Stegostoma tigrinum: one gene and its partner. The protein of the gene in region 1 interacts with the protein of each later gene in a biochemical or structural test. Links are inferred from orthologs where the notes say so. Each region holds a gene or a part of one and is shown on either strand. Other genes may lie near its edges. The genes, in order: ston2 and syt1a.

Region 1 (15,988 bases):
TTATCTTGGATTCTCCAGCATCTGCAGTTCCCATTATCTCTGATACAATCAAAATAAATGCCTGGATAAATGGTCACCCAGTTCTAATGGATGTTGATGCCAGTATGGTTGTATCAGTGATTGCAGAACCAATCTCTAACAAATTCACTCTGGAGTCCAACCCTAAGTTTGCTAAGACCTCAGTCAGGGCAAAAACCTATATTAAAAAGGAACCCCTACAGATTAAGGGTTCAATTTTGATTCCTATTTTTTTTATGAGAAGCACTTAGTTTAGTTACCGCTGGTTGTAGTAAAAGGCTGGGCCTAAGCTTGAAGGGGTGAAATTGGTTGAGAAAGAATCAACTTGATTGGCTCAACATTTTTTTTAAATTGGAAAATGGATACCTGAGTGAAGTCCTAATTAAGAGGGCTTCTATGCAAAACTGTCAGAAGGTCTGTCTTTCATGAAACTGGAGAAGAACCATGCATTCCTGCCATTGGGATTATATGACGATTCCTAGAAGTATGCCACAATTAATACCCATAAAGGTTTGTACTATATACAAGATTGTCTTTTGGAGGTATCATCAGGCTGTGCCATTTTCCAGTGGACAATGGAAAACATTTTCAGGTCACCAGTTGTCTGGATAATGTGCTAATAACTGGGAACACCAATGAAGAGCATTTAGAGAAGTTGGACATAGTGCTTAAATATTTTCTCCAAGGCGGATGTATGCCTTAGGAGGGAAATGCGTGTTCCAGGCACCACAAGTGACCTACTTAGGCTACAAAATTGACAATGCCAGATTACAACCATTGGAAGATAAAGTGAGGGCAATCAAAGGTGCCTTAGTCTCCATGTTTGTACCAGAGGTTAGGTCTTTCATTGGGTTGGTGAATTATTACAGAAAATTCATATGTAACCTGGCCTCCAACTGGCACCCTTACATCTCCTATAAACTATAGAAAATAAATAACAGTTCATCTGATGACAGAATACTGACCTTTGTGCAGTTATTTCGCAATGTTTGCTGATTGTTCACATAGAAAATAGGAGCAGGAATATGTCATTTGGTGCTTTGAGCCTGCTCTGCCATTCAATATAATTGAGGTTGATTATTCAACTCAGAATCCTAATCTCATTTTCTTTGCATAAATTTTCAATATCTTGAGCTCCAGTAGCTAAATCTAACTCCTTCCTGGGACACAACAGTACAGGGACAGAAGGTAAAAATTGTATCAGAGATAATGGAAACTGCAGATGCTGGAGAATCCAAGACAACAAAATGTGAGGCTGGATGAACACAGCAGGCCAAGCAGCATCTCAGGAGCACGAAAGCTGACGTTTCGGGCCTAGACCCTTCATCAGATAGGGGGATGGGGTGAGGGTTCTGGAATAAATAGGGAGAGAGGGGGAAGCGGACTGAAGATGGAGAGAAAAGAAGATAGGTGGAGAGAGTTTAGGTTGGGAGGTAGGGAGGGGATAGGTCAGTCCAGGGAAGACGGACAGGTCAAGGAGGTGGGAAGAGGTTAGTAGGTAGGAGATGAGGGTGCGGCTTGGGGTGGGAGGAAGGGATGGGTGAGAGGTAGAACAGGTTAGGGAGGCAGAGACAGGTTGGACTGGTTGTGTGGTGCAGTGGGGGAAGGGGACGAACTGGGCTGGTTTAGGGATGCGGTGGGGGGAAGGGGAGATTTTGAAGCTGGTGAAGTCCACATTGATACCATTAGGCTGCAGGGTTCCCAAGCGGAATATGAGTTGCTGTTCCTGCAATCTTCGGGTGGCATCATTGTGGCACTGCAGGAGGCCCATGATGGACACGTCATCTAAAGAATGGGAGGGGGAGTGGAAATGGTTTGCGACTGGGAGGTGCAGTTGTTTGTTGTGAACTGAGCGGAGGTGTTCTGCAAAGCCGTCCCCAAGCCTCCGCTTGGTTTCCCCAATGTAGAGGAGGCCACACCGGGTACAGTGGATGCAGTATACCACATTGGCAGATGTGCAGGTGAACCTCTGCTTAATGTGGAATGTCATCTTGGGGCCTGGGATAGGGGTGAGGGAGGAGGTGTGGGGGCAAGTGTAGCATTTCCTGCAGTTGCAGGGGAAGGTGCCGGGTGTGGTGGGGTTGGAGGGCAGTGTGGAGCGAACAAGGGAGTCACGGAGAGAGTGGTCTCTCCGGAAAGCAGACAGGGGTGTGGATGGAAAAATGTCTTGGGTGGTGGGGTCGGATTGTAGATGGCGGACCTCCTCGACCTGTCCGTCTTCCCTGGACTGACCTATCCCCTCCCTACCTCCCCACCTATACTCTCTCCACCTATCTTCTTTTCTCTCCATCTTCGGTCCGCCTCCCCCTCTGTCCCTATTTATTCCAGAACCCTCACCCCATCCCCCTCTCTGATGAAGGGTCTAGGCCCAAAACGTCAGCTTTTGTGCTCCTGAGATGCTGCTTGGCCTGCTGTGTTCATCCAGCCTCTCATTTTGTTGTCAGGGACAGGAGGTCATGTTTTCTGGAATTGTGACTAACTGCAGCTGCACAAGGCCATCACCTTGACAACAGTTATCAGATTGGTGCCTGGCTAGCTAAATAACCTGTTAGGGAGGAAGATATTGGCAAGGAGATTTTGACTGTTGAAAGGGCAGATGGTATATCTGTCTCTATCTCGCTCTTTTTCTCTGTCTCTAGTAAAGTACCCAAAGCCTGAAGAAAGCCAGTTTAATTTCCACTTACCAGTTGTTGTAAGCTGATGCTTTTAACCAATACATCAGACTTTATAATTTGTGAAGCAGTTGCTCTGTGCCTGCTGTGGATAAGTGAAAGAACTGAAGGATTTGGGAATCCTAAGGACCGACATCATTGAACTCATTCCCCAGCACTTTTCCACTCTGCTCACAAGGCCAATGTTATTTATCTGCATTTATGTGTAAGGAAATTTTAGAAGACATTAGTAGTTACAATGTATTTACTTGTAATAAATAGTAACTCTTATCAAGAACAGAAACCTGAACCATATTTACTGTTCACCCAAGTCTAACAGATAATTTGGAAATTTTCTACTTTAATGCAATTTTTATCTATAATGACGACTCTGGGAATTACAAAGGCTTAACTTCCAGCTCACTACCCAGTGAGGTGTAACAGATACACACATTTCCAAGTCAGGAATACAGCGGGGAAAAAAATCCTTAGCTCAAGCAAAACATTCTGCATGCTCCTGAGAAACACCTTGTATACTTCACTGTGTTAAAGGTACTATATAAAAATGCAAATTTGTGTTGATATAGTCAGCATGAGGTGCATTCCTCAGCATTCCCATTACCTACAAAGGTCTTCGTCACTAATGGCCAGACATCAAGAAGCAGATGTCTGTTGGAAATATAGTTCTTTCAAATATCATCACCGGTGGTGATTCTTGTATTTACATAGTACCATAAAACATTCCAAGTGCTTCACAGAGATCAGAGTTTTAAGGACCATGCCCCAAGATAACTCTACATCCTTAGTTTGCTCAATTCAATCTTATTTCAAGCTAATGACAGCAAAATAGTGTATGTTTCTACATTTGTGCAATTCTAAGAGTAGATTTCTTCAAAAGATTCAATTAAAATAGTTTCTACCAGTGACTTTTTATTTGTCGAAATGTATGTCTTGCATTAAACTAACTAACTGAAATACATGACCTGTCAGAACTCTTTCTTAAAAAAAGAGCTCAGGGGTATACACCAAGTGTTCATGTATTTTTCCAGTATATAGTTCAAAGTTCAGTTCTGGGTTATCTGAATTTGTTCATTCTGCAAGAGGCTGATAATTTTTGGATCATACAAAACAGGCCTGCCTTTATACTCTGCCTTATTAGTGTGGACACGAGTGAATTGGGAAAAGGTCCATTTACTGCCTGTTGTAATATAATTGGAATAAACTCAATTTCATATTGACCCATCCCTTAATAGAATTGGAGGGGCTTGCCATGAAAAAGCAAAAGCAAACAATATTGCAGGAAAGAAAAATAGTGTACATGCAAAGGGTGTGGTTGATAAGTGACAGAACTAATCAAGCTCTAAATGACAGAATGCATGACTTCATCTATTTAGAAGTTACTTCACAATTCACTGTTTCTTAGTTAAAAATCTCATGACTTTAAAGTTTAGGTCTTTCACATTTTGGAGGCATAGCTTATTATAATTCATAAGATATTTTGAGTTATATGCTCACTTCTACAGCATTTACTACTTTTAAAAGACCCTGTAAAATTTAATAGCCAGGGTATAGTTATTTTATCTCTAAGCCAACAAACATTTTCTTCTGAAGATTCACATAGAAGTGATCATGAAAAGAGGTATGGGGCAAGTGTAACTGGTGAGCACTACTGGTTGCTCATTTTATAATGGATTGATTACAGAACTTGGTAACAGTTCTCTTTTTGGTTATCAGTTACATAGACACACTTATTCCTCAGCTGCACTCACTTTTTTCCTTAAGCCTGTTTTTAAAAAACAATTAGGACATTACCAGCTTATTCACTATATTTACTTTACAGAAAGTGTAGTTGCACTCAAAAGGGAAGTATACTGAGATAACAAGGTGTAGAGCTGAATGAACACAGGCCAAGCTGCATCATAGGAGCAGGAAAGCTCAACTGTTAAAATATCTTTAACTTACATAAATAAGGTATCTGTAGTTACATGTTTGTCTCCATAATTTTCTGATATTATGGTTCAGAACTCCCTATTTAAAACTATTTGATCTAAAAGTTCATGTCATTAGGATTTAATTTAGACAAGACTTATAGAAAGCCTGGAAACAGAAAAGTGTATTTAAATTAATAGTTGAAAGGGTTGAGAATGTGCTTATTATATTCAGATGTTTCATTGGAATATTTGGCTAGTTTTATTACAATAGTAAAAGTAAGATCTTCCTTACATTTTTAATCAACAAATCACAATCTTTCCAGTGCAACTCCATTTGCAATATCAAACAAAAAAATCACAAACCTATTCATATCTGTAAAACACAACTTTAGTTGTGAACATGATACAGAAACATTTGGCACCTTGTCTTAGTTGCTTACAATGTGAAAGTGCTAGTTCCCCAAGTTTCAAAAGGAAATAATCTTCTTTACTCTGCAGCATGTACACCAACAAGTATTCTCAGGAAAATTAGGCATTCTATACAATTCCAACTAGCTGCACAAAAATGAGACAATCCTTCTGTTTCAGCAGCTTCAAGACAAACTTTAGAATGGGTTTGGGGATAAGGAACCATAGATTGCAGAAGTTAATTACTGGGATACATTTTCAGGAGCTGTGTTTCCCCTCAACTTGAAGTCACCAATATTCTAACTTTATGTGCTGAACCTCCACAATGATTACAGACTATTTCTGACCACAACGAATTACAATAATACCTTGATAATATTCAGACAGCAAGCCAAACTCTTCACTTATCTTATGCTTTCTTGGTGGTTAGTTTGGAATTTCTTATTTTTCCAACAGCTACATCACAAATTCTCTAAAATTCATATTCCAAGAGTAATAAATATAATCCTTAGGTAGCTCTTAAATAAAGTTTACTTATGTAAATATATCTTAATGTTTTCTTCTGCGGTATTGCTACGTGTGTGTCCATTTCAACCACATTTATGCAAATTTTCATTTACTTTTAGCTTGAACATTTAAAAGCATGAAACCGAATTCACAAGGCCGGAAACGTCAGCTTTTGTGCTCCTAAGATGCTGCTTGGCCTGCTGTGTTCGTCCAGCTCCACACTTTGTTATCTCGGATTCTCCAGCATCCGCAGTTCCCATTATGTCTGATCACAAGCCACTCATATCAGCTATCAAAATAAGAAATCAAAATAAAACTGGGTCCTTCTCATTAGCAGCAGTTGAGAATAATTTGCTCACTGAATCAATCATGCTATATTTTACTGTTGGGGAACGCTTGTTTTTTCAGTCTTTAATTTTCCAGAAGATCTGTTGCATTGCCTCCTTTTCATAAAATTTTAATTCTTTTAATTGCCAGTTTTGTTATTTTTAGACCCCAGATTAAACTTTTCTTTAAAGACAGGTCAACGGTAAAGTAGACGCAGAAAACACTTGAAATAGCATTCGCACGTTTTTGTAAACAGATTCTGTACGGTTGATTTCATTCAACAAATTTATAAATAACAATAAGGACTTCCTAAAGTTTATTTTTTCATTAACTGTTAGAGTTATTTGTACTTTATAAGCTTCCTCCATAAGTCTTCTACCTAGAGAACTTTTAGAGGTCCACAGTGAGGACAGCAGATGGTGACATCGATATGAAAAGTTGAATAGGGAATCATTAGAAGACACAGTGATTAAAGATTTTTTGGAACATTGTTTCAGTTATTAACGGGGGGGGGGGGGGAAGGAGTTAGCAAAAGGAAGCACTTTGGGGCGTAAAAGGAGCTGCTTGGTAACAATGCTTCCAGCTCAGTCACTTGCGCGATTAGCGCACTTTTGGAGGAAGACTGCTCATTCGAAATTTCATAGAACCATTCCGGGAGCTTTACTTCGATTCTGGATAGTGTGCCATTTCGATTTAGAAACCAACAAACCAAAAGAACTGCAGATTCTGGGAATCAGAAACAATAACAGAAATCGCTTGGTAAATTCAGCATCCTTCGCGAAAAAGCAGAGCTGACGCTTCCAATTTGTTCGCACTCCCATCACGATGTTCAAATAAACTGGAAACCAAATTTCCTGACCCATTAACACGACAGCCATAAATTGAGAAAATACTTAGAACTGTGTACACCCTCACGATTATACTCCGACCAAAAGTCGACAATGATCACGAAAAAAGTTTCGGACCTCGAAACAGGAGAACTGGAGTTGGCCGCAAATTGGCATCTGACATGGAGAAGGAAAGAGAGACACTAGGACCCTACAGCATCCACGATGCTCACACGGCGCAACCTGCTAGCACAAACACGCCAGAGCTGCTGGGGAGGAGACAGGGGAGGAGTGTGGAAGTTTTATACATAAACAAATAATTCATATAGAACACCTACTGCATATAATCGAACATTCACCTCGATCTGGCATACTGACATTTCCGGACTCCACCACCGCCTCCCGTGTTTAAGTTAATGCGTCGCACCGCCCTCCGCTCGAGCTGAACAAACGGCCGTTTCAAGCCAACATTTAAAAGGCTCGAGAGCCTGAGCCGCACGCTCCCGGCCGTTGCCTAGACACACCCGCCCTCACTCGAAACCGGCTCCCCCCATTGGCTCCGCACGTCTGGGGCCGCTGGAAGGTCGACATCGACGCCACGCCTCATTTCCCCATTTCGGATCCCATTGGCCGTGCTCCTTTCCTCCACGATTGGACCATGGACATCAGCGCCCTTTGATTGGTCACTTGATGAGCCGCGAATGGAGATGGGTCCAGGTGGATGTCGATGCAGTGTATAGCCAGAGAAACACAGCAGGTCCAGCAGTATCAGAGGTGCAGGAAAGTCGATGTTTCTAGTCGGGACCCTTCTTCAGAAATGGGGAGGGGGAAGGGAATGAAAGTAGGGAGGAGGGGTGGGGCTGGGGATAAGTAGGTGGGGTGGTAATAGTTGGATTCGGGTAGGGGGAGGCGGAACAAAAACATTCTGAGGAAGGGTGCAGGATTGGAAACATTAACTCCGATATTTTCTTCACGGTTACTGCCAGACCCGCTGAGCTTTTCCAGCAACTTCTGTTTTTGTTACTGATCTACAGCGTCCGCAGTTCTTTCGGTTTTTATTTAGGGGCTGGTGGGGAGAAAGATGGACGGGTTGTGTCAGGCCAAGGAGACAGTTGGACATAAGATAAGATTGGGGAATTGGGAGATTTTAAAACTGGTGAATTCGATGTTCAGGCCATTGGGCTGTAGGTTCCCAAGGTGGAATGTGACATGTTACTCATCCAGTTTATGTGTGGCATCATTGTGGTGTTTGAGGAGGCCCAGGACAGACATGTCATAGAATCATAGAATCCCTACAGTGTGGAAACAAGCCCTTTGGCCTAAGTCCACACGGAACCTCAGACTGTCTCACCCAGACCCATCCCCCTATAACCCATCTAATCTACACCTCCCGGAACACTACAGGCATTTTAGCATGGCCAATCCACCGAGCCTACATATCTTTGGACTGTGGAAGGAAACCAGAGCACCTGGACGAAAGCCATGCAGACTCGGAGAGAATGTGCAAACTCCACATGGACAGTCGCCTGAGACTGGAATTGAACGCAGGTCCCTGGCGCTATGAGGCATCAGTCCTAACCACTGTGCCACCCCATCAAGGGAGGGGGAGGGAGAGTGAAAATGAAAATGGTTAGTGACCGGAAGGTGTTGTCAATTATTGTGTACAGAGCACAGATGCTCCACAAAATGGTCCCCCCAGAAAAGAAGATTGTTGCAAAAACACCGAGCGGTGTTTGATGGATATAGAGAAATAGTTTCAAGATTGATGAGATTTGCGCTCGTCTGCTTCTTAACCCCTCACCCATCTTCGGAATGATCACTTGGGATTTATTCATCTTGTGTGGGTAATTCTGAACTATCAAATGTTTTGTGAGGCAATTACATGCAATGGTTAGGTGAGAAGCTCCACCTATTAGGATATAATGGACAATTCATGGCAGGATTTCATTGCTAAGTTTGTGTCATTAATTAATTGTCTGTGTCATTAATGTTAACATTAATACATTTGTGTTAAATATAGTCTAAACTTAGAAAACAAACTGTCATGTAATACTGATGTAATGTAATTAGGAATTAAGTCTTATATAATAAATCTGTTATGTTTAACAAGATTAAGCCTCTGTTCAGCCAAAGACTTTTTGTAGACAGCTTTCCCCACATTGTGTCAATAATTCAAACTAATATCGGTAAAAAGGGTTAGTGTCGGTGAATCTACCTGGTGCATTTCAGTTAGCTCTGATAGCCACAACCCAAGAGATACCATCTTAGCAGCGATGATATCTGCAAGTATATCATTAGTGCACAAAGGTGTCCATGTACAAAATTTATGCACAACAGTCCAGGCCAACACTCCAATGGGGTGTTCAGGGAGTGCTGCAATGTCCAAGGTGCTATCTTTTGAATGAGATCATAGCCATTAACATCATTTACGCCTTAGGTGGAATCAAAAAGTCATTTTAGACATGATCAGGGGCTTATCTGCAATGCCCTGACCAATATTCATCCTTCGCTCATCAGAAAAGACAAATTATTGGGTCGTTAACATCCCACAGTTTTCAGAGCAAACTAATTACTGGTGATGTACCCTCTAAGCCATGTGTTCAAAGTTGCAAACAGACCTTGGAGGCCTGCACAGTGGCAAAATAACAATGGAGAGAATGCTGCCTAAAGGTATCACATTTCCAACAGCACCACAGTGTCTATGGTTCAAATGTACATAATTGGCTGTAAAACACTTTGGGATATCCTGAGGTTAGAAAAAAAGTATAGAAATGAATGCCTTATTTTTTTTGTGCAAATTTGGTAAACCGGTTAAAAAACAATTCAGCACATGGGATGAGGCTGGGGATTGGGAGATTTTAAAACTGGTGAATTCTATGTTCAGGCCAGAGGGAGACTTTTATTCTGCCCAACATGCTCATGTCAGCTCTTTGAATGAGCTATCCAATTTGACCCATGCCCCTGTTATTTGCCCAGCCCTGAATAAGAAGCAATTTTGTACTCAAGATCTTACCACATCTTCAGACACCCAGCCCGCTACATGCCCAAAGACGTATGGACTGGGAATTGGACTGTTAAGTTACATGAACCTTTGTTGTCAAGTTATTGATCTTTTCTTATTAATTTATTCTTATTAAAATACTGATTTTGAAAGCCTTTTGCCCTTAACCTCTCTATCTGAGAGCAATATTAGATTTTATCGCATGGGGATTGGCGTGCAAAGGGGAAGAAATGATGATTTACTGGATCACACTCAATCTGGAGCATGGTGTCTAATTTTGGGCAATTCAGTCAGAAAAGAATGGCTTTGGAGGGGATGAAGTTGAGTGAACTTCAGACAGTAGAGAAGGTGAGATCACACCTGGGAGAAGTATACCCCAAGTACGTATATTTCTGTGATTTTCAAGCAATGTCGGTATTCAGTACAAATGGGGAGAGGTGTATTTTGCTTTATTCGGTTCATAATTTTGTAAGGTATTTTTTAACAGGATAAATTGAAGCCCAGGATCAGTGGCTAGCACAAAATAATCACAGGAAAACTGTAAATTCATTGGTTGGTAATAGCTGGAGGTGATGGGCTAGTGGTATTTGTTGCTGGACTGTTAATCCAGAGACCCAGATAATATTATGGGGACCTCGGTTCGAATCTCACCATAGTAGATGGTGAAATTTGAAATCAATAAAATATCTGGAATTAAGAGTCTAATGATGATCATGAAGCCATTATTGATTATTGGATAAACCCATTTGATTCACTAACGTCCTTTATGGAGGAAACTTCCATCCTTACCTGATCTGGCCTACATGTGACTCCAGACCTACAGCAATGTGGTTGACTCTTAACTGCCCTCTGGTCAATTGGGGATGGGCAATAAATGCTGCCTAGACAGTGATGCCCTCATCCTGTGAATGAATAAAGGAAGAACAAAGCTGCTAACTTGACTATTGATGATAAACTTCTTTCAGATTAAAAAGTAAATGGAAAAAAATATTTTGGGGATTAAGCACCAAAAGACCAGTAGGAATTTTTTTAAAGTTAAGAACTAAGTGAACAAAATAAAGATGTAGGCCCAGATGAGACTTGGGATGACACAGGGGCAGGAATGTTTGTTGGATCTTCCAGGGTTTAGATGTTTCAAAAGAAATAGGGAGGTAAAAGAGGTGGAGAAATGGCATTGCTAATCAGGGGTGGCATGACAGCTGCAGAAAGGGAGTTCGTGGAGGAGTGTTTGTCTACTGAGTCAGTATGGGTGGAAGTCAGAAACAGGAAAAGATCAGTCACCTTATTGGGAGTTTTCTATAGACCTCCCAATAGCGACACAGACACTGAGGAACAGATTGGGAGACAGATTGTGGAAAGGTGCAGAAGTAATAGGGTTGTTGTCGTGGGTGACTTCAACTTCCCTAATATAGACTGGAACCTCCTAAGTGCAAATGGTTTAGATGGAGCAGATTTTGTCGGGTGTGCACAGGAAGGATTTCTGACTCAATATGTAGATAGGCCGACTAGAGGGGACAACCACACTGGATTTGCTGTTTGGCAATGAACCGGACCAGATGTCAGAAGCCTCGGTGGGAGAGCATTTCGGTGACAGTGATCACAACTCCCTGACCTTTACTACAGTCATGGAGAGGGATAGGAGCAGATGGTATGGAAACGTATTTAATTGGGTGAGGCGGAATTACGATGCTATTAGGCAAGAACTGTGGACCATAAATTGGGAACAGATGTTCTCAGGGTAATGCATGACAGAAATGTGGAGTTTAAGGAGCAGTTGCTACGAGTACTGGATAGGTTTGTCTCACTGAGGCAAGGAAAGGATGGTAAGGTGAAGGAACCTTAGATGATAAGACATGTGAAACATCTAGTCAAGAGGAAGAAGGATGCTTACTTCATGTTGAGGAAGGAATGATCAGACAGGGCTCCAGAGGGCTACAAGGTAGCCAGGAAGATACTGAAGAATGTACCTAGGAGAGCTAGAAGGGGGTATGAAAAAGCCTTGGTGGGTAGGATCAAGGAAAACCCCAAGGCATTCTATTACAAATGTGAGGAACAAGAGGATGGCCAGAGTGAGAGTAGGGCCAATCAGGGATAGTGGAAGAAACTTGTGCATTGAGTCAGAGGAAGTAGGGGAGGTCCTTAATGAATACTTTGCTTCAGTATTCACCACTGAGAGGGACCTTTATGTTTGTGTGGACAGCATGAAACAGGCAGATATGCTCAAACGGGTTGGTGTTAGGAAGGAGGATGTGCTAGAAATTTTGAAAAACATGAGGATAGATAAGTCCCTGGGCCAGATGAGATATATCCAAGGTTACTATGGGAAGCAAGGGAAGAGATTGCTGCCCCTTTGGCAATGATCTTTGCATCCTCACTGTCCACTGGAGTAGTACCAGATGATTGGAGGGTGGCAAATGTTATTCCCTTGTTCAAGAAAGGGAATAGGGACAATCCTGGGAATTACAAACCAGTCAGTCTTACTTCTGTGGTGGATAAATTATTTGAGAGGATTCTAAGAGATAGTATTTATGATTATTTAGAAAAGCACAGTTTGATTAGAAATAGTCGGCATGGCTTTGTAAGGAGCAGGTCATGCCTCACAAGCCTTATTGAATTCTTTGAGGATGCGACAAAACAAATTGATGAAGGCAGAGTAGTAGATGTGATCTATATGGATTCTGGCAAGGCATTTGATAAGGTTCCCCATGGTAGCCTCATTCAGAAAGGAAGGAGGCATGGGATCCAGGGAAATTTGGCTGTCTGGATACAAACCTGGCATGGTAGTAGATGGAAAGTGTTCAGCCTGGAGCTCAGTGACCAGTGGTGTTCCACAGAGATCTGTTCTGGGACCTCTGCTCTTTGTGATCATTATAAATGACTTAGCTGAGGAAGTGGAAGGGTCGGTTAGTAAGTTTGCTGATGACGTGAAGGTTGATGGAGCTGTGGATAGCATGGAGGGCTGTTGCAACGGGACATTGACAGGATGCAGTGCTGGGCAAAGGAGTGGCAGGTGGAATTCAACCTGGAAAAGTGTGAAGTCATTCATTTTGGAAGGTCGAATTTGAATGCAGAATACAGGGTTAATGGCAGGATTCTTGGCAGTGTGGAGGAACGGAGGGATCTTGGGGTCCATGTCCATAGATGTCTCAAAGTTATTACCCATGTTGATAGGGTTATAATGTATGATGTGAGCAGAGATCATGGGAACTGCAGATGCTGGAGAATCCGAGATAAAAAAGTATGGAGCTGGATGAACACAGCAGGCCAAGTGGTATCTTAGGAGCACAAAAGCTGATGTTTCGGGCCTAGACCCTTCATCAGAAAAGGAGGATGGGGAGAGGGTTCCGAAATAAATAGGGAGACAGGGCGAGGCGGAATGAAGATGGATAGACGAGAAGATAGGTGGAGGGGAGAATATAGGTGGGGAGGTAGGGAGGGGATAGGTCAGTCCGGGGAGGACGGACAGGTCAAGGGGGTGGGATGGGGTTAGTAGAGAGGAAATGGAGGTGCGGCTTGAGGTGGGAGGAGGGGATAGGTGAGAGGAAGAACAGGTTAGGGAGGCGGGAACGAGCTGGGCTGGTTTTGGAATGCAGTGGAGGGGGGGGGGGGAAGATTTTGAAGCTTGTGAAATGCTCATTAATACCATTGGGCTGCAGGGTTCCCAAGCAGAATATGAGTTGCTGTTCCTGCAACCTACGGGTAGCATCATTATGGCACGAGGACCAGGATGGACATGCCATCTAAGGAATGGGAGCGGGAGTTAAAATTGTTCACGACTGGGAGGTGCAGGATGTGTTGGCTTTCATTGGCAGGGGAATTGAGTTTTAAGAGCTGCACGGTTATGCTGCAGCTCTATAAACCGCGGTTAGACCACACATGGAATATTGTGTTCAGTTCTGGTTGCCTCATTATTGGAAGGATGTGGAAGCTTTAGAGAGGGCACAGAGGAGATTTACTAGAATGCTGAAAGGTTGAGGGAGCTAGGGCTTTGTTCATTAGCGCGAAGAAGGATGGGAGGTGACATGATAGAGGTGTACAAGATAATGAGAGGCAGAGATAGAACAGATAGCCAGAGACTTTTTCCCAGGGTGGAAATGACTATTACAAGGGGGTGTAATTTTAAGGTGATTGGAGGAAAGTATAGAGGAGATGTGAAAGGTCGGTCCTTTATGCAGAGAGTGGTGGGTGTGTGGAATGCACTGCCGGCAGTGGTAGTGGATACTTTACAGACTTTCAAGAGACTCTTGGATAGGCACACAGATGATAGTATAATGTAGGGTATGCAGAGTAGTTTCATCTTAGTAGGATCTTTAGCTCAGCACAACATTGTGGGCTGAAGGTCCTGTACTGTGCTATCTATCTCAAATTCAGTCAGGGACAGGAGGGTGTGACTACAAGTGAGGTAAGTAGAGTGAGAATCTTCCTGACTGTGTGGATGAGGCCTCTTCTGGAGTGCTGTGTCCAGTTCTGGTCGCCTTGTTATGGGAAGAATATTATTAAGTTAAAGAGGGTTCAGTGGAGATTTGCCTGGATGTTGCCAGGTACAAAATATTTGAGTTATAAAGAAAGGTTGGATAAGCTGGCACTTCTTTCACTTGGCTGTGGGAGGTTGAGAGGTGACCTTAGAGGTTTATGAAATCATGAGGGATATAGATAAGGGATAATGGGAACTGCAGATGCTGGAGATTCCAAGATAATAAAATGTGAGGCTGGATGAACACAGCATCTCTTAGCAGCATCTCAGGAGCACAAAAGCTGACGTTTCGGGCCTAGACCCTTCATCAGAGAGGGGGATGGGGGGAGGGAACTGGAATAAATAGGGAGAGAGGGGGAGAAGGTTAGTGGTAGGGTGTCTTTTCCCTAGGATATGGGATTTCAAGCCTAAAGGACATATTTTTAAGTTGAGAGGAGAGAGAGATTTAAAAAAGACATGAGGAGCAAATCTTTTATCTAGAGAGTGGTTCGTCTGTGGAATGAACTTCCTTAATAGGTAGTGGATGAGAGTACAGTTACAACATTTAGAAGATATTTAAATAAGTACATGAATAGGAAAGGTTTGAAGGGATATGGACTAGGAACAGGCAGGTGGGATGAGTTTAGTTTGGGATTGTGTTTAGCATGGACTGGTTGGTCCAAAAGGTTTGTTTCCATGGTGTATGACTCTGTGACTGAAATATTACGAGTATTTTCAGGAAGTCTGAACCAGAGTGGTTTTAGGGATACCTGTAGATGTGTTGTATTTGAACTTGTTTATTTGAAAATGTTTGACCAGGTATCTCACAAAAGGTTAAAATCAAAGGATAAGAGCTCACTCTGTTGGAGGTAGTATATTGGCATGAAGTTAGCAACCAACATCCAGAAGTTGTTTGTCTATAACATCCTTGCAGCCCCAAATCCACAGCCAGTCAATCTACTAAGAACAGTGGCCTAGCTGATCTCCTAGCTGATAATGGGAAAATAAATGAGAAGAGGGTAGTAAAATAAAAACATTAGAAATACGAGTTTGTGTATGGTATAGATCCCACTGAAACCTCTCCACTATTCAACAAGTTCGTGTGTGCTCCTCTTCCTCAATTCCATCTTCTGATCTTGTCTCCATAATCTCTGATTTTCTGAGTGTCCAAAAATCTATTGAACTTATTTTTGAATCTGCTGCCTCTCTGGGGTAAAGTTATTGCAAAGATTCACAATTCTCTGAGTGACAGAATTTTTCCCCTTCTTTATTCCTAACTGAGGAATCTGTTAGCGAGTTTTGAGAAGATTGGAAGCTCAGGTTGAGGTTCTGGGTGTGAGTTTGCTCGCTGAGCTGGAAGGTTCGTTTTCAGACGTTTCAGAGGAATCTGTTGTTTGTGACTAGGACCCTTGGTTGTCAACGAGTTTAGATTATCTCCAAATCTTCTAAATAACAGAATACAGGCTCAACTTCACCTCATTAGGACACCTTTCACCAGCAATCTGGTGAACAAACCTTTGTTTCACTCACTGTAAAGGTCTTCAAGGTATATCTGTCCTTTTGTAAGTAGGGTCAGTGTCCAAGTAACAGGAGCTGTGAGATGACTATAGGTTGTGGAATGAAAACAATGCAGGAGTAGGAGAACCAGCGCAAAAGAGTACTAAAGCAAAACATGAATATAATCACCAATCTGCCAGATGTCACACCTGTCCAAATTCAAATAAAAATTTTCAATTAAGTGATATCTTTAAGTAGAACACCATCCTGGGTCACTTTGGCAAAAAGGAATTGGACAAAAATCAATGCCAAGACAATGAATGAGATTTTCTGAATAGGTGATTAAAAACTAAGTCAGAGATGGGTTT
Region 2 (15,727 bases), on another chromosome or scaffold:
ACGTGGTGAAGGGTTTCACATCCATGTGAATTTAAACTGAAGGCTAGTGCCTCGGGGAGAAATAGTTCCAAACGTCAGACAAAAGATACATAATCAAATAAATAATGTCAGCAACATTGGTTTAGTCCAGCATTTCACCAAAGAAACCTGGATATGGGAGCCCAAATACCGTGGGTGGTACCGACAGCCTTTTGGAGACAATCTGTCAGAACCTTTGTAGAAGTAAATGCAATCTTAAATTCTTAAAAACAGAAATAAAACAGATCTCTCTCTCTCTCCTGCACTGACAGCTGTCGGCACACAAATGATTTGATTGACCTCATGACAAAGCTTTAAAACGCCAGGGGTTGAAAAAAAACTTCAGAGAGCAGAACAAGAGGGTGCCCTGGATTCTTGATCCTAATCCAAAGGATCTATTAATAACACAAAACATCTGTCACACCTTTAGGAGCTGACTTTTACATTTCACATTCCATTTGTTTGATATAAATAAAACTTCATCACACAATAAATTGTTGTGCATCCACAAATTAGTCTGCAAAATATTTCTTTTGACGCTTACGGTGAAGTGTTTTGTACACGTGTGCTTTATGATAAAATAAAACAATTAAGTAACAAAGTCAGAAATAGACATCCTTCTGAATTGCACACATTTTCACATGAGAGTTACATTTACAGGTGAAATAATTGTTCAAACCTCAAACTTGCCAGGTTAAAACCACGGTACGATAGAATATTTATAACACAGGAGCGGGGTCTGTCAGCTCAGTGTGTCCTTTGTATTCAAAACAAAGCTTCTCCCATCTTTTTGCATCTCAGTCTATCAACATCTCCTTTGACACCTCAACTACTGATAATCCAACATCCACTTACATGCATCTCGGAAGTTCCACATTGTCACCACGCTCTGGGCTGATGGTGTTTGTCCCATATTCTCAGCTGGATTGGTTTGTAACTGTACCAGTTGAGAGAGATCTCACTTCCACCACAGCTGGGTTGGGCATCTATGACCCATGCACCTGACACCGATCTGAATGACCCTGACCATCTAGCCTTGCATTCAATGTAATCCACGTACATGGACAAAGTGGGTACTCTTGTTCCCCACAATTACACCAGCAGCTCATCCACTCACACACTTAAGCCAATCCATTCACTCAACTCTTCAATCTCTGGTGCATATGCCCCTTTCATTTATCGGTCCAGTCATCCATCCCCCCACTCATCAAAGCAATGACCCTTGAACATCTTTCACCCATGCACTCTTCTACCAACAAACCATTCACGCCACGCCACCATCATCCCATCCATCTTCATCCCCATCCACCTCAACACTCATCCACCTCAACCCTCGTTCACCTCAACCCTCATCCACCTCAATCCCCATTCACCTCAACCCCATCCACCTCAATCGCCATCCACCTCAACCCTCATTCACCTCAACCCCATACACCTTCATCCCCATCCACCTCAACCCTCACCCAACCTAACCCTCGTTCACCTCAACCCCATGCACCTCAAACCCCATCCACCTCAACCCTCATTCACCTCAACCCCATGCACCTTCACCCCATCCACCTCAACCCTCACCCAACTCAACGCTCGTTCACCTCAACCCTCATTCACCTCAACCCCATCCACCTAAAACCCCATCCACCTCAACCCTCGTTCACCTCAACCCTTGTTCACCTCAACCCCATCCATCTCAATCCCCGCTCACCTCAACCCTCGTTCACCTCAACCCCACCCATCTCAATCTCAGTTCACCTCAACCCTCGTTCACCTCAACCCTCACCCAACTCAACCCTCAAAGAACAAAGAACAAAGAAAATTACAGCACAGGAACAGGCCCTTCGACCATCCAAGCCTGAACCGATCGAGATCCTCCGTATAACCTGTCATCTATTTTCTAAGGGTCAGTGTCCATTTGCTCCCTGCCCATCCATGTACCTGTCCAAATATATCTTAAAAGACGCTAAAGTGTCTGCGTCTACCACGTCCGCTGGGAACGCGTTCCAGGCACCCACCACCCTCTGTGTAAAGAACTTTCCACCCATATCTCCCTTAAACTTTCCTCCTCTCACTTTGAACTCATGACCCCTATTAATTGAGTCCTCCACTCTGGGAAAAAGCTTCTTGCTATGCACCCTGTCTATACCCCTCATGATTTTGTAGACCTCAATCAGGTCCCCCCTCAATCTCCATCTTTCTAATGAAAATAATCCTAATCTATTCAACCTCTCTTCATAGCTAGCACCCTCCATCCCAGGCAACATCCTGGTGAACCTCCTCTTCACCCTCTCCAAAGCATCCACATCCTTTTGTTAATGTGGCGACCAGAACTGTACACAGTACTCCAAATGTGGCCGAACCAAAGTCCTATACAACTCGAACATGACCTGCCGACTCTTGTACTCAATACCCCGTCTGATGAAGGAAAGCATGCCATATGCCTTCTTGACCACCCTATTGACCTGCGTTATCACCTTCAGGGAACAATGGACCTGAACACCCAGATCTCTCTGTTCATCAATTTTCCCTAGGACTTTTCCATTTACTGTATAGTTCGCCCTTGAATTAGATCTTCCAAAATGCATCACCTCGCATTTGCCCGGATTGAACTCCATCTGCCATTTATCTGCCCAACTCTCCAGTCTATCTATATTCTGCTGTAATCTCTGACAGTCCCCTTCACTATCTGCTACTCCACCAATCTTAGTGCCATCTGCAAACTTGCTGATCAGACCACCTACACCTTCCTCCAAATCATTTATGTATATCACAAACAACAGTGGTCCCAGCACAGATCCCTGTGGAACACCACTAGTCACAGGTCCCCAATTTGAGAAACTCCCTTCTACTACTGCTCCCTGTCTCCTGTTGCCCAGCCAGTTTTTTTATCCATCTAACTAGCACACCCTGGACCCCATGTGACTGCACTTTTCCCATCAGCCTGCCATGGGGAACCTTATCAAACACCTTACTGAAGTCCATGTATATGACTTCTATAGCCTTTCCCTCATCAATCAACTTTGTCATGTCCTCAAAGAATTCTATTAAGTTGGTAAGACATGACCTTCCCTGCACAAAACCGTGTTGCCTATCACTGATAAGCCCATTTTCTTCCAAATGGGAATAGATCCTATCCCTCAATATCTTTTCCAGTAGCTTCCCAACCACTGGCGTCAGGCTCACTGGTCGATAATTACCTGGATTATCCTTGCTACCCTTCTTAGACAAGGGGACAACATTAGCAAGTCTCCAGTCCTCCAGGACATCACCCGTGTCTAAGGATGCTGCAAAGATATCTCCTAAGGCCCCGGCTATTTCCTCTCTCACTTCCCTCAGTACTCTGGGATAAATCGCATCTGGACCTGGGTATTTGTCCACCTTAATGTCTTTTAGGATACCCAACACTTCCTCTTTCCTTCTGTCAACTTGACCTAGAGTAAGGAAACATCTATCCCATCCTCAGCATCCGTCATATCCCTCTCCTTGGTGAATACCGAACAAAGTACTCGTTAAGAATGTCACCCATTTTCTCTGACTCAGCGCATAACTTTCCTTTTTTGTCCTTAAGTGGGCCAATCCTTTCTCTAGTTACCCTCTTGCTCTTTATATATGAATAAAAGGCTTTGGGATTTTCCTTAACCATGTTTGCCAGCAATCTCTCATGCCCTCTCTTAGCCTGCTTAATCTCTCGTTTCAGATTCACAATCCCTCGTTCAGATTCAGAACTCTCGTTCACCTCAACCCTCATTTACGTCAACCCTCATCCATCTCAATTGCTATCCACCTTTACCCCATCCAGCTCAACCCTCATTCACCTCAACCCTCATTCACCTCAACCCTCATTCATTTCAATCCCCATCCATCTTAATCCCCATCCATCTCAATCCCCATCCACCTCAACCCTCATTCACCTCAACCCTCATTCACCTCAACCCTCATTCACCTCAACCCTCATTCATCTCAATCCCCATCCATCTTAATCCCCATCCATCTCAATCCCCAACCACCTCAACCCTTGCCCAACTCAATCCCCATCCACCTTCACCCCATCCACCTCAACCCTCATTCACGTCAATCCCATCCAGCTCAACTCCCATCCACCTTCACCCCCATCCACCTCGACCCCCATCCATCTTCAACACCACCCACCAGAAACCACCATGCTTCATTCAGCGTTATTGCACCAAGGTGAAATGAACCATGAAAGGAACCGTTGGATACTCACTCAGGGTCCTCTTTGGTACAGTGGTAGTGCCCCTACTACTGAACTGGGAGGCCCAGGTCCAAGTCCCATCTACTGCAGAAGAATGTAATAACATCTCTGAACAGATTTTTTTGAAAATATTTAGGATCTTCACTGAATCTTTGTGGGACTTCAGTGCGTGGGATCAAACTGAAGGAGATGGAAATTACTACACAATGTGTTTGAGTGGAGCTCAGGCCCCTGGTGGGTTAGTTTCTGGGATGGAGTTGGCAGCAGTTAGAAACTGTGTGACTGAGAGAGGAAGTATGTGTTCTGATCTCTCTTCATAGTGCCCTGTTTCTCAGGAGGCTGTGCTGCATGTTTGACAGACCTACCCAGGTCACTCTATCAGAATATTTGCCAATATCAAACGATGAAAATTCCTTCTCGTGTAAGGGCAGTGACCTGGGGAGATTCTGACTCTCGGTCTCTGTCTCTCTCACTAGTTCAGTGGAATCTGATGTTCTCTGGTTGGAGTTTGGAGGCATTGGGAAAACTACTCTGTATTTCCTGCTGAAATTAACACCAACAGTAATGGGGGGGGGGGCAGTGCGGGTGGAGAAAGTAAGATGCTGTTGCTGATACAATTGTCTGCTCTTTCACTGGGTCCAGTCAACCTGTAGGAGCCAAAGTAGTGGGACTCCTGTTCCTGTACAGCTGTATTTCAGGGTGACAGACTCAGCGCTCCACATCTCACGGGAGATTAATACATGGTTATAAATCAGTGTATAAATATGGATATGGCATACAGGCACAGAGATCAGAAGATCAAATCAAGTCGAAAACTCCTTGTCCTTCACACCGTCTGTTCGGAATTCCACTCCCACTGTTCGGAATCCGGTCTAAATCCCTGGGAATTAACCGCAGCTCGGTCCCCAGTCCCCAGCCCATTCCAGGGGAGGATCGGCAAGGTGTACAAATACCCCCAGCAACTGAGCAAAACCGATTCTCCCCGGAGATGACCCACAGGCTTGGCCGAAATCCTTTGCCGCTGGTTTCCGGCCATTCCCCGACATCTTTGCCCTGGCTCCTTCTCCCAGGATTGAGCATTCTCCATGTTCCCGTCTTGTATATGTGTGCCAGTGTGTGTGTATGTGCCAGTGTGTGCCATTATCAGTGAGTGTGTGCCAGTGTGTGTGCCAGTGTCAGTGAGTGTGTGCCAGTGTCTCTGTGTGTGTGCCAGTGTCTATGTGTATGCCAATGTGTGTGCCAGTGTGTGTGCCAGTGTCTGTGTGTGTGCCAGTGTCTGTGTGTGCCAGTGTCTGTGCATACCTGTGTGTGTGCCAGTGTCTGTGTGTGTGCGTGCCAGTGTGTGTGCGTGTGTGTGTGTGTGTGTGTGTGTGATTGTGTGTGTGAGTATGTATGTGCTGGTGTGTGTGTCAGTATGTGGGCATATCTGTGTGTGTGAATCAGTGTGTAATTGTGTGTGTCACTGTGTATCTATATCTGTGTCAGTTTGAGAGATTGTGTGACTGTGTCAGTGTGTGGGAGGGAGATTGTGTCTCTATGTGTGTCAGTGTGTGGGAGATTGTATGTCCACTGTGTGTGTGTATATGAGATTGTGTGTCAATGTGTGTGAGATTGTGTACCAGTGTGATTGTGTGTGTGTGCGTATGAGAGAGAGAGATAGAGAGAGAGAGAAAGTGTGTGTGTACTGATTAAATTACAACTAGTAGGCAATCAATGTGCTGTTTCTGATAAACACCTTTTGTGAATTCATTGCCGATTTGGAATTGACCGAGATGAACACAGTAAGCGGACTGACTGAACCCAACGGAGATATGCTCCACCTACGGCGGACTCTCACTAAACCAGGGCAGACATTCAGCGAGTGTTGGACAGAAACAGAGGAAATCTCTTCCTCATCACACACACACAGCCCTAACACAGCAATAGCAGGAACAACACACCGAGCAAATGAAAGATGACATTTGTTTTCGCGTTCTCCCTGATGGAGAGTGGCAGAGACGAACACACACACACACACACACACACACACAAAGGTTTACAGTCAGTATCAATCCCACTCCTCTGGTCACAGTTTCTCCACCTCAACTTTCTGGGACACACATAGTCCCGCTCCTTCCCCTCTGTCACCCGCCTCACTGACTCGCAATGATTCGGGTGAAGGGGATATTCCTGATAGAGCTCAGGGAACACAATCCTGAGCTGACACGTTCCTCCCATTCCGAGAGGGAGCATTCATTAGACTATAGTCCCTTCCCAAATATAAACCAACCCCAGCAACAGGGTTCCTGCCAGTCACACTTTCAGCATGGACAGAGAGAGAGGGGGACAGCTTGGGAACACAACATCTCTTACCTGGAATGATGTCCTTTATTTTGTTTAAAATAAACAGAAAATCTATTTAGCTGAGGCTGCCTGAGGAATAGAGACACACAAATTACAAGGAATGCACTTTTTTTTCTCTCTCTCTCTCTCTCAGTTTCTCTCTTGTTTGCTCCTCACGGCCAGGCTTTGCAGAGATTTGGTTCCAAGTGCTGAGAGTGAAGGGTTTTATACTGCGGGAGACAGGGGGGTAACCGTCACTTTAGCAGAGAGACACTGCAGCTCTCAGGAAAGCCTCCAGTGAGAACCTACTGCATCACTGAGTCCTTGTGTATGATTGGACACAGAAAAGTGCTGCCTCGCATACCTAATCCAGCAGCAAGAAACAGGGACACAGCTCCATTTCGTCTTCTCTCACACACACACACACATTGGAGAGAGTTCCCGCAAGAGGCGCCCGCAGCACCCAGCTCAGTCTTCCAGGAGACAGGTGGGGAGCGAGGGTGGGGGTGTGGGGGTGTGGGGGTGGGATCTAGATAGCCCCCAACCCTCTGCCCTGACTGCTTCCCTTCACCCAGAGGGTCTCACTACTCTCAACAATACCACACCACCAGCGACACTAACAGAAGCAAGCAAAGGGGAGGAGAGATTTTCAGTCAGGGATTGTTGCTATGAGGGTATGGGGATGCTGTCCCCGAGTTTACCTGGAGTAGACCTGAAGCTAGATGTTTACTGTGGGTCTGAGCTCCTTCAGGTCCCCAGCCCAGAGCCAGCCAGGGGTCACGCAGTGGAAGTTTATTGGCTCGGGAGCACAGAGCTGGGGACTTGAGTTTGAGTTTGTAACTGCACAAAGCCATCCTGCACATCCATATCTAGGTGGGCATCATGTGACTAAGAACATTGCCCCACCTCACAGTACTGTGTTTCCAGCAGCTGCTTTTCAAGCATATTTGGTTTGGACCTCTCTGAACCAGCTTGAGAATCAAATCCCAGCTGCCATTTCAGTTCTGAGGGAGTCCTACCCTGTCACTGGGGCCAGAACACCAATCACCCTCCTCCAGTAACCAAAAAATCCTGGCACACTATTCAAGACAGAGTTGGGGAGAGTTACTTCATGGGGTCTTGCTACACACAGTTAGGACCAGACCCCAGGCTCATGATGGGATACAGCTAAATCCCTGGGTGAGGAGGCATGACCAGGCTCTCCCTCTTTATTCAACCACACCCTCTTCCCCCAAATAGTTCCACGGATTAATTAAAAAAAGATGCATTTCTGTATTGGAAAGATTGCACCTGCCTGGTGATGAGACACATGGTGTATGTTTTCAATTGTGACCAGTTTGTACCTTGTCCACATAACCCAGTGCCTGCAATTTATATCACAATTACATTGGATTTTGGGGTGATCACAACTAGATTACACTGTGCAGTTTTGCTCTCCATTTCTATGAATCTTGGAGGGTGAACAATGAAACTTGACTGGATGTGTTGAAGCTTGACACCATCCAGGACAAAGCAGTTGCTTGATTGGCACCACATCCACAAACATCCCACTCCCTCCACCACCGACGCTCAGTAGCAGCAGTGTGTACTGTCTACAAGATGCACTGCAGAAATTTACCAGAAATCCTTAGCACCTTCCAAATCCCTAACTACTTCCATCAGAAGGACAAGGGCAGCAGGTACATGGGAACACCACCCCCTGCAAATTCCCCCTCAAGCCCCTCACCATCCTGACTTGGAAATATCTCACCGTTCCTTCACTATTACTGGGTCAAAATCCTGGAATTCCCTCCCTAAGGGCATTGTGGGTCAACCCACAGCACATGGACAACATCGGTTCAAAAACACAGCTCACTACCACATTCTCAAGGGGCAACTAGGGATGGGCAATAAATGCTGGCCTGGCCATGAATGCCCACATCCCATGAGCGAATGAATAAATGTGGTATGAGGTGAATAGATAGAATTAAGGTAAAAGATCACCTGCTATCGTAACTGAGGATGCTTAAGGGGCCAAGTGACTAACTCCTGTTCACAATTCTTACACTTTACACATTTTATGAAGTGAATCTCCCACTGACTGTAGCTGAATGCTCAACAACTAAATTCTATTCCCGCAATCTTTGGAAAATTAAAATTGTGTTTATATGACTTTTGTTGTTATCTCTTAGTCTCTCTCTCTCTCTCTCTTCTCTGTGTCTTTCTGTCTGATTGTGTCTCTTCACTGATTCGTTTCTTTCTTCCTGTCTGTTTCTCTCTATCACTTTCTCTCCCTCTCTCTCTCTTTGTCTCTCTTCCTTTCCATCTCTGTCTCTCTGCCTCTCTCTCAGTCTCTTTGTCTCCCACCATCACTCTCTCTGTCTGTCTTTCTCTTTCTGCAATCTCTTTTTCTCTGACTCTCCTCTCACTCTCTATCCTCTCTGCCTCTCCTCTTTCTCCTCTCTCTCTGTCTCCATGTCTCTCTCTCTCTGTCCTCTATCTCTCCCCTTCTGGCTCTTCCTTTCTTCACTGTGTCCATCTCTTTCTTTCTCTCCCTCTCTCTCTCTCTCTCTCTCTCTGCATCACCCCATCCCTACTCTCTCTCTCCTGCCTCTCTCCTCATTACACATATGTTATGATGACTTCAGCCAAATATTCCTCCTGGGCACAGGACTGTTGCCAGCTTCTAACTCAGTTTTCAAAAAAGACTGTTCATCTATAAATAGTGCATTGGCTTATGTTATAAATGAGGGACCTGTGTGGGTTGGGGGCTGTGCAGTGTTTGTAAATTTACTCTGAATGAAGTATAACTGCAAACTGACTCCCCCGAGTTACACTGCAGAACAGGAGGCATTGCTGTGAATTCCACTCCTGGTGAGAAGGCTGCGTGCAGAGAATTTGCTGAAGCGATTACATAAGAATGTTAAAAGATTCACACGTGTACATCCTATCTCTCACACACATACAAATAAACACACTCACATACACTGTGTCAGCGATACAGAGACTCATCCACATGTTCACACTCTGACACACTGTGCACCTGCTGACAAATACGCACACCTACTAACACACACCGACTTGCATAGTGCATCTGTAGTCAGACACAATTCCAGATTGCACATACATCCAACAAATCTCTCACATGGCTGCCTGTGCATACAGTCTCTTCTTACACACACACACACACACACACACACACACATACTCTCTCTCTCTCACTCTCTCTCACAAACATACATTCATAGTCACACAAACTCTCTCACACACAGACAGACAAACTCTCACACACACTCTCACACTCTCTCTCACACACAGACACACACACACTCTCACATACAGGCCCAGTCTCTTTCTCACACACACACACACACACACACACACACACACACACACACACACACACACACACACACACACACACGCTTTGATCCTCCTGATGTGACAATTCCTCCAGGATCCCTGCTGATGTCAGGATGCTAACCTTGAGAGGTTGGAACTCTGAGATATGTCCTAAAGGGGATTCATATATTAACACGAAGGCGAGGAATTTTAAGTCACAGTTTCTGCCATTTTTGGCCACCACCTTCTATCAAATACAGGATGTCAGTTTAATTGCATTTGGTTGCTGTTGCCTGGTAACAGGAAGGATATATAGTTTTTGAAAATTTATTAGCCCAGTGTGCAATATGACAGAATAATAAATTAAATACGTGAACTACAAGATATCACCAGTTTTAATCTAATGTTAAATGTCAAATGAAATTCCAAACACAGACCTTCACATCTCCAATCAAGTTTTATTTAGTTATATTATACAGAATTACTTTCAACAACAGCATAGTGTGGTGTGTTCAATGTGTGTGCATAATTATGCTCCATTAATACTGTAACTTGTGAGAAAGCAGCTTTAATATCTCCCACTTTTGGAGATATTTTCTTAACCATCGCGCATGATTGGCCTCAACTTTACATTCTCAGATAAGTTTAACGTCTCCAATGCTGGATTATCCCATTACAATGTTACATTGTTGATCTGTTAACATTAACATCACCTGCTGATTTATTCTGATCTCTCCAGCTTTCAAGGTTATAAATTAAGTGGCACAGTTTTAAAGACAGTGCAAGAACAGAGGGACCTGGAGGTTCACAAACACAAATCTTTTAAAGTGACAGAGTAACGAATGAGATTGCTGAAGCGACAAATGAAATCTGTAAGCCTTTAGGCCTGGAAGTGTACAGCACAAATGGAAGGCATTTACAGAAAACCTTTATCCAGTACTGGCCTGACCTCATTTAAAGAATTGTGTTTAATCCTGGTCACCACACCTTAGCAACGATGCCAAGACATTGTTAGAGGTGTAGAGGAGATTTACTCGAATGGGACCAAGGATGAGGGACTTCAGTGAATGTGGAGAGACTGAGTAACTGGGGTTGTTCCACTGATAGGAAAGATAGTGAGAAGAAGATCCGAAGATGGTGTCAGTTTGTGTCATTTCTGACTTTTAGAGTTTGCTTTTTGTTTTCTGCGTTCAAAACGAGGAAGGATTTTGATAAAATAAATATGGAGAAAACCATTACCAGTGACCAGGGGGTCAGGAACGAGAGGAACAAAAACAGAAGTTGCTGGAAAATCTCAGCAGATCTGGCAGCATTTGTAGTGGGGAAACAGAGTTAATGTTTCAAATCCAGTTACTGTTCTTCAGAACCCTTCTTCACTGGACCTAGAACATTAACACAGCTTTCTCTCTCCACAGATGCTGCCAGACCTGCTGAGTTTTTACAGCAATTTCTGCTTTTGTTTCTGATTTCCAGCATCCACAGTTCTTTTGTTTTTTTTTGTTTAGCAACCAGCGAGATTCTGATGTAAGATTACGGGTAAAAGAACAAACGCGAGATGAGGAGAACTATTTTAACTGAGTGTGTTTATAAAATCATAGAAAATCTATGAGACAGAAGGAGGCCATTTACCCCATCATGTCCATGACAGTTACCAAAGGGTGATCTAGCCTTGTCCTACTATTCTGCACTAGGCCTGCAGTACTGTTGTGATCTGGGAAGTGCTGTCTGAGAGGGTGTTAGAGAAAGACTCAATAGTAACATTCAAAAGGAGAAAAATGCACAGATTTGGAAGCTAATACAGGGAGAAGTGAGATTAATTGGATAAGGAGATGGAACTGACGTGATGGGCTGAATGGCCTCCTTTGGTGCTGTGTCATTCTATAATTCTATGAGACAAATAAAATGAAAATTTTACCAAAACTAACACATTGTCCAGAGACAACGGCATAAATACTGATAAATTTTGCTGACTCTGTTAGAGTCTCACAACATTGAAATCCTATGGAAATGTTTTACAATAAAAGAAACAATTTTGCTTTACTACCATTGACAAGTATGTTATTGTTGTGTCAGAGTTCAGGTTGTGACAGAGTGTTGGTTCAGTTCAATCTATTATATTGAGATATTCTGCCAATTTCTTTGGGTGTTGCATCTTCAGGTCAGCATGATGGCAGGGCGGTGACTTATTGTCTCTTCAACATTTTTACAGGAGCCTCAATATATTTTGACAACAACCTTTATTTACAGTCATTGATCCACACTCACTCAAAGTGTCTCCTCCATGCAATCTCTCTCCAATTCTCACTCACTGAATCACACTGGGAGCGAGAGAAGGAGGACAAAAAAATGAAGGAGAAGGAGGAGGAGAAAAAGGAGCTGGAGAGGACACAGTGGGATTACCTCCGCACCAGTGACAATGCGACTGAGGTAATGCTTTGAGGGCAAGGCTCAAATCCTAGCACGGCAGATGGTGAAATGTGAATCAACTAAAAATATGGAATTAAAAGTCCAATGATGACGATAAAAACCTGTTGTAAAAACATGCTGAGTTTGCTAATGTACCTTAGGGAAGGAGTCTACTATCCTTACCCAGTAGGGACTACACTACAATACACTATGGACACTGAACTGCCCTCTGGAATGTCTGGCTAAGTCACTCGGTTGGATCAATTGTCAGAAAGAGAAAGCAGAATGAAACCAGAAGAGATAACAAGAACCTCAGATGTTGGAGTCAGGGTCAACACAGTGTGGAGCTGAAGGAGCACAGCAGGTCAGGCAGCATCAGAGGAGCAGGAAAGTCAATGTTTTGGGTCTGATGAAGGGTCCACACTCGAAACATCAGCTTTCCTGACCCTCGGATGCTGCCTGACCTGCTGTGTTCCTCAGCTCCACACTGTGTTGACTCTGATTCCAACATCTGCAGTTCTTGTTATCTCTGAAAGAGCTATAAACCCACTGCGAAGCCTCTTCCAAGGATTCCCACCCTGAATAAGTTATCCTCCTTCCTCTGGAAAGATCTCAGTGAATCTCTCTCCCACTGCAACCTTCTGATGATCTCTGCCCTGAAGCTCAGAGACTACAAACTGAGACAGCCACATTTGGGCAGCACGGTGGCTCAGTGGTTAGCACTGCTGCCTCACAGTGCCAGGGACCCAGGTTCAATTCCAGCCTTGGGCGGAGTGTGCACGTTCTCCCCATGTCTGCATGGGTTTTCTCCGGGTGCTCCTGTTTCCTCCCACTGTGCAGGCTAGGTGGATTGGCCATGATAAATTGCCCAGGGATGTTTAGGTTAGACGTGGGAACTGCAGGGGTGAGGGAAGGGGCCTGGGTGGGATGCTTTTTGGAGGGGCAGTGTGGACTTGTTGGGCTGAATGGCCTGTTTCCATGCTGTAGAGATTCTATGATTCTACCTTCTTTCTCAGTTCCAGCCTATGCAGCCTGTTCATACCCCATGGACTCCAAACAATGTTCAGACCATCCCAGTTCTGATGAAGAGTTCGGACTTGAAACATTGACTTTCTTGCTCCTCTGATGCTGCCTGAACTATTGTTTTCCTCCAGCTCCACACTGTGATGAAACCAGAAGGACCACCTGGCACCAACAGAGGCCCTGAACCTGCCCTGTCCTCATTACTAACAACAGTGGGCAATCCACCTCGGCCTCCTCCAGTGTTCCCCAGCATCACAGATACCAGTCTTCAGCCAACTCCATTCACTCCACGTGATACGAAGAAACGGTTGGAGACACTGGATCCTGCAAATGCTACAGGCCCTGACAACATCCCAGCAATAGCACTGAGGACTTGTGCTCCAGAGCCTGTCGCTCCCCTAGCCAAGCTGTTCCCGTACAGTTACAACACTGCTATCTACCTGATAATGTGAAAAATTGCCCAAGTATGTCCCATACACAAAAAGCAGGACAAATCCAACCCCTCTGTGACTCACAGTGATTCTCCATTGAAGTAAAACCCTACTTTGTTTTTTTCATACCAATGTGAACAAGTTCACATTTTCCAAGGTAACATTACCCTCTACCTGCCAGTTTAGGTCTGTGCAAATTCTGATACTTCCATTTCCTTTAGAAAGCGTGACCATATCGGAACACAATCTAGTAGGAGATAACAAGGTGTAGAGCTGGATGAACACAGCAGGCCAAGCAGCATCAGAGGAGCAGGAAAGCTGACGTTTCGGGCCTAGACCCTGACACAATCTAGTAGGAGTGTAATTGATGGAATTACCCTTGTTCTTGCATCTTTTTAATTTCTTCTTTCACTTTATCCATTAGTAAGTGCAGAACCTATCTTGAAGTAAAAAGACTAATTGATGTTGCATTTGCCCATGGTGTTACATGGTCCTCATTTTTCAGCTTACTTGGTTCTGAGAATAATTTGGAAAATTCTTGTCAAAATTCTGTCTTCCTTTGCAGGTTTTTCTCCCCTCATGGTCAGCTTTGAACTAAAGTGTGCTGAGCTGCTGACAGTGGAAGCTTCTTGATTCTCTTGGATAGAAAGTGGTTCTGCTATTTCTCATTCTTAATATTTTAACCTTACCGCAATCTGACTTTTGTCTTTCAAGTGTGTTTCTGCCGGAGTATGAAGTTTGATTGAGGAAGGTTTGAACCATTTCAACCTATCAGACAATGTAAATCCTACACCAGGAGCCTGTTAATATACAGTAGGTGTTGCTCTGCTTGGAGATCTACTGGCCAGTAATTAATGTGCCAATCATTGTTCCTTCAATGTTTAATGTCTGTCATTTTGACTCCCTTACACCTTCAATCAGATTGTGTTTTAAATTCAGTTGCCATTTGCTCCCATTACTTGCAGATTTATGGAGGTCAATGCGGATAAATGTGAGGTGATTCACTTTGGGAGGAATAATAGGAAGGCAGAATACTGGGTCAATGGGAAGATTCTTGGTAGTGTGGATGTGCAGAGGGATCTTGGTGTCCATGTACATGGAATAGATGAGAATAGATTAGATTCCCAACAGTATGGAAACAGGCCCTTTGGCCCAACAAGTTCACACTGCCCCTTGATATATCCCACCCAGACCCATCCCCCTATAACCCACACACCCCTGAATACTACAGACAATTTAGCCTGGCCAATCCACCTAACCTGCACATCTTTGGACTGTGGGAGGAAACCGGAGCACCCGGAGGAAACCCACGCAGACACGGGGAGAATGTGCAAACTCCACACAGACAGTCGCCCGAGGCTGGATTTTAACCCGGGTCCCTGGCGCTGTGAGGCTGCAGTGCTAACCACTGAGCCACCGTGCCGCCCCTTCGGCACGGTGATCCCTGAAAGTTGCCACCCAGGTTGATAGTGCTGTTAAGAAGGCTTACTATGTGTTAGATTTTATTCGTAGAGGGATTGAGTTCCAGAGCCGTGATGCCATGCTGCAATTGTACAAAACACTTGTGCGGCCTCATTTGGAATATTGCTTGCAGTTCTGATCGCCCCATTACAGGAAGGGTGTGGAAGTATTGGAAAAGGTGCAGAGGAGATTTACCAGGATGTTGCCTAGTCTGGAGCACAGGCCCTATGAAGAAAGGCTGAGGGACTTGGGTCTGTTCTCATTGGAGAGAAGGAGGCTAAGAAGGGATTTAATAGAGACATTCAAGATGATCAGAGGATTAGATAGGGTGAACAGTGAGAGTCTTTTTCCGATGATAACTTCAGCTTGTACAAGGGGACATAGCTACAAATTGAGGGGTGATAGATTGACGACAGATGTCAGAGGCAGGTTCTTTACTCAGAGATCAGTAAGGGTGTAGAACGCCCTGCCTGCCAATGTAGTTAACTCAGCCACATTAGGGGCATTTAAACAGCCCTTGGATAAGCATATGGATGAT

What was found.
Region 2: the proteins of ston2 (region 1) and syt1a form a complex in vitro, tested with the Homo sapiens proteins (2 studies listed by BioGRID). The link is inferred for Stegostoma tigrinum from reciprocal best matches to the Homo sapiens genes STON2 and SYT1.

What each region holds. Positions count from the first base shown.
Region 1 is NC_081363.1:9,665,787-9,681,774, reverse strand, and holds the start of ston2 (stonin-2), read right to left. Parts: upstream 7,223-15,988; 5' UTR 7,050-7,222; coding exon 7,008-7,049; intron 6,905-7,007; exon of another isoform or gene 6,808-6,904; intron 5,805-6,807; exon of another isoform or gene 5,629-5,804; intron 2,884-5,628; exon of another isoform or gene 2,703-2,883; intron 1-2,702. UniProt on the Homo sapiens protein: Adapter protein involved in endocytic machinery. Involved in the synaptic vesicle recycling. May facilitate clathrin-coated vesicle uncoating.
Region 2 is NC_081371.1:61,643,971-61,659,697, forward strand, and holds the start of syt1a (synaptotagmin-1a), read right to left. Parts: upstream 6,810-15,727; 5' UTR 6,578-6,809; intron 1-6,577. UniProt on the Homo sapiens protein: Calcium sensor that participates in triggering neurotransmitter release at the synapse. May have a regulatory role in the membrane interactions during trafficking of synaptic vesicles at the active zone of the synapse.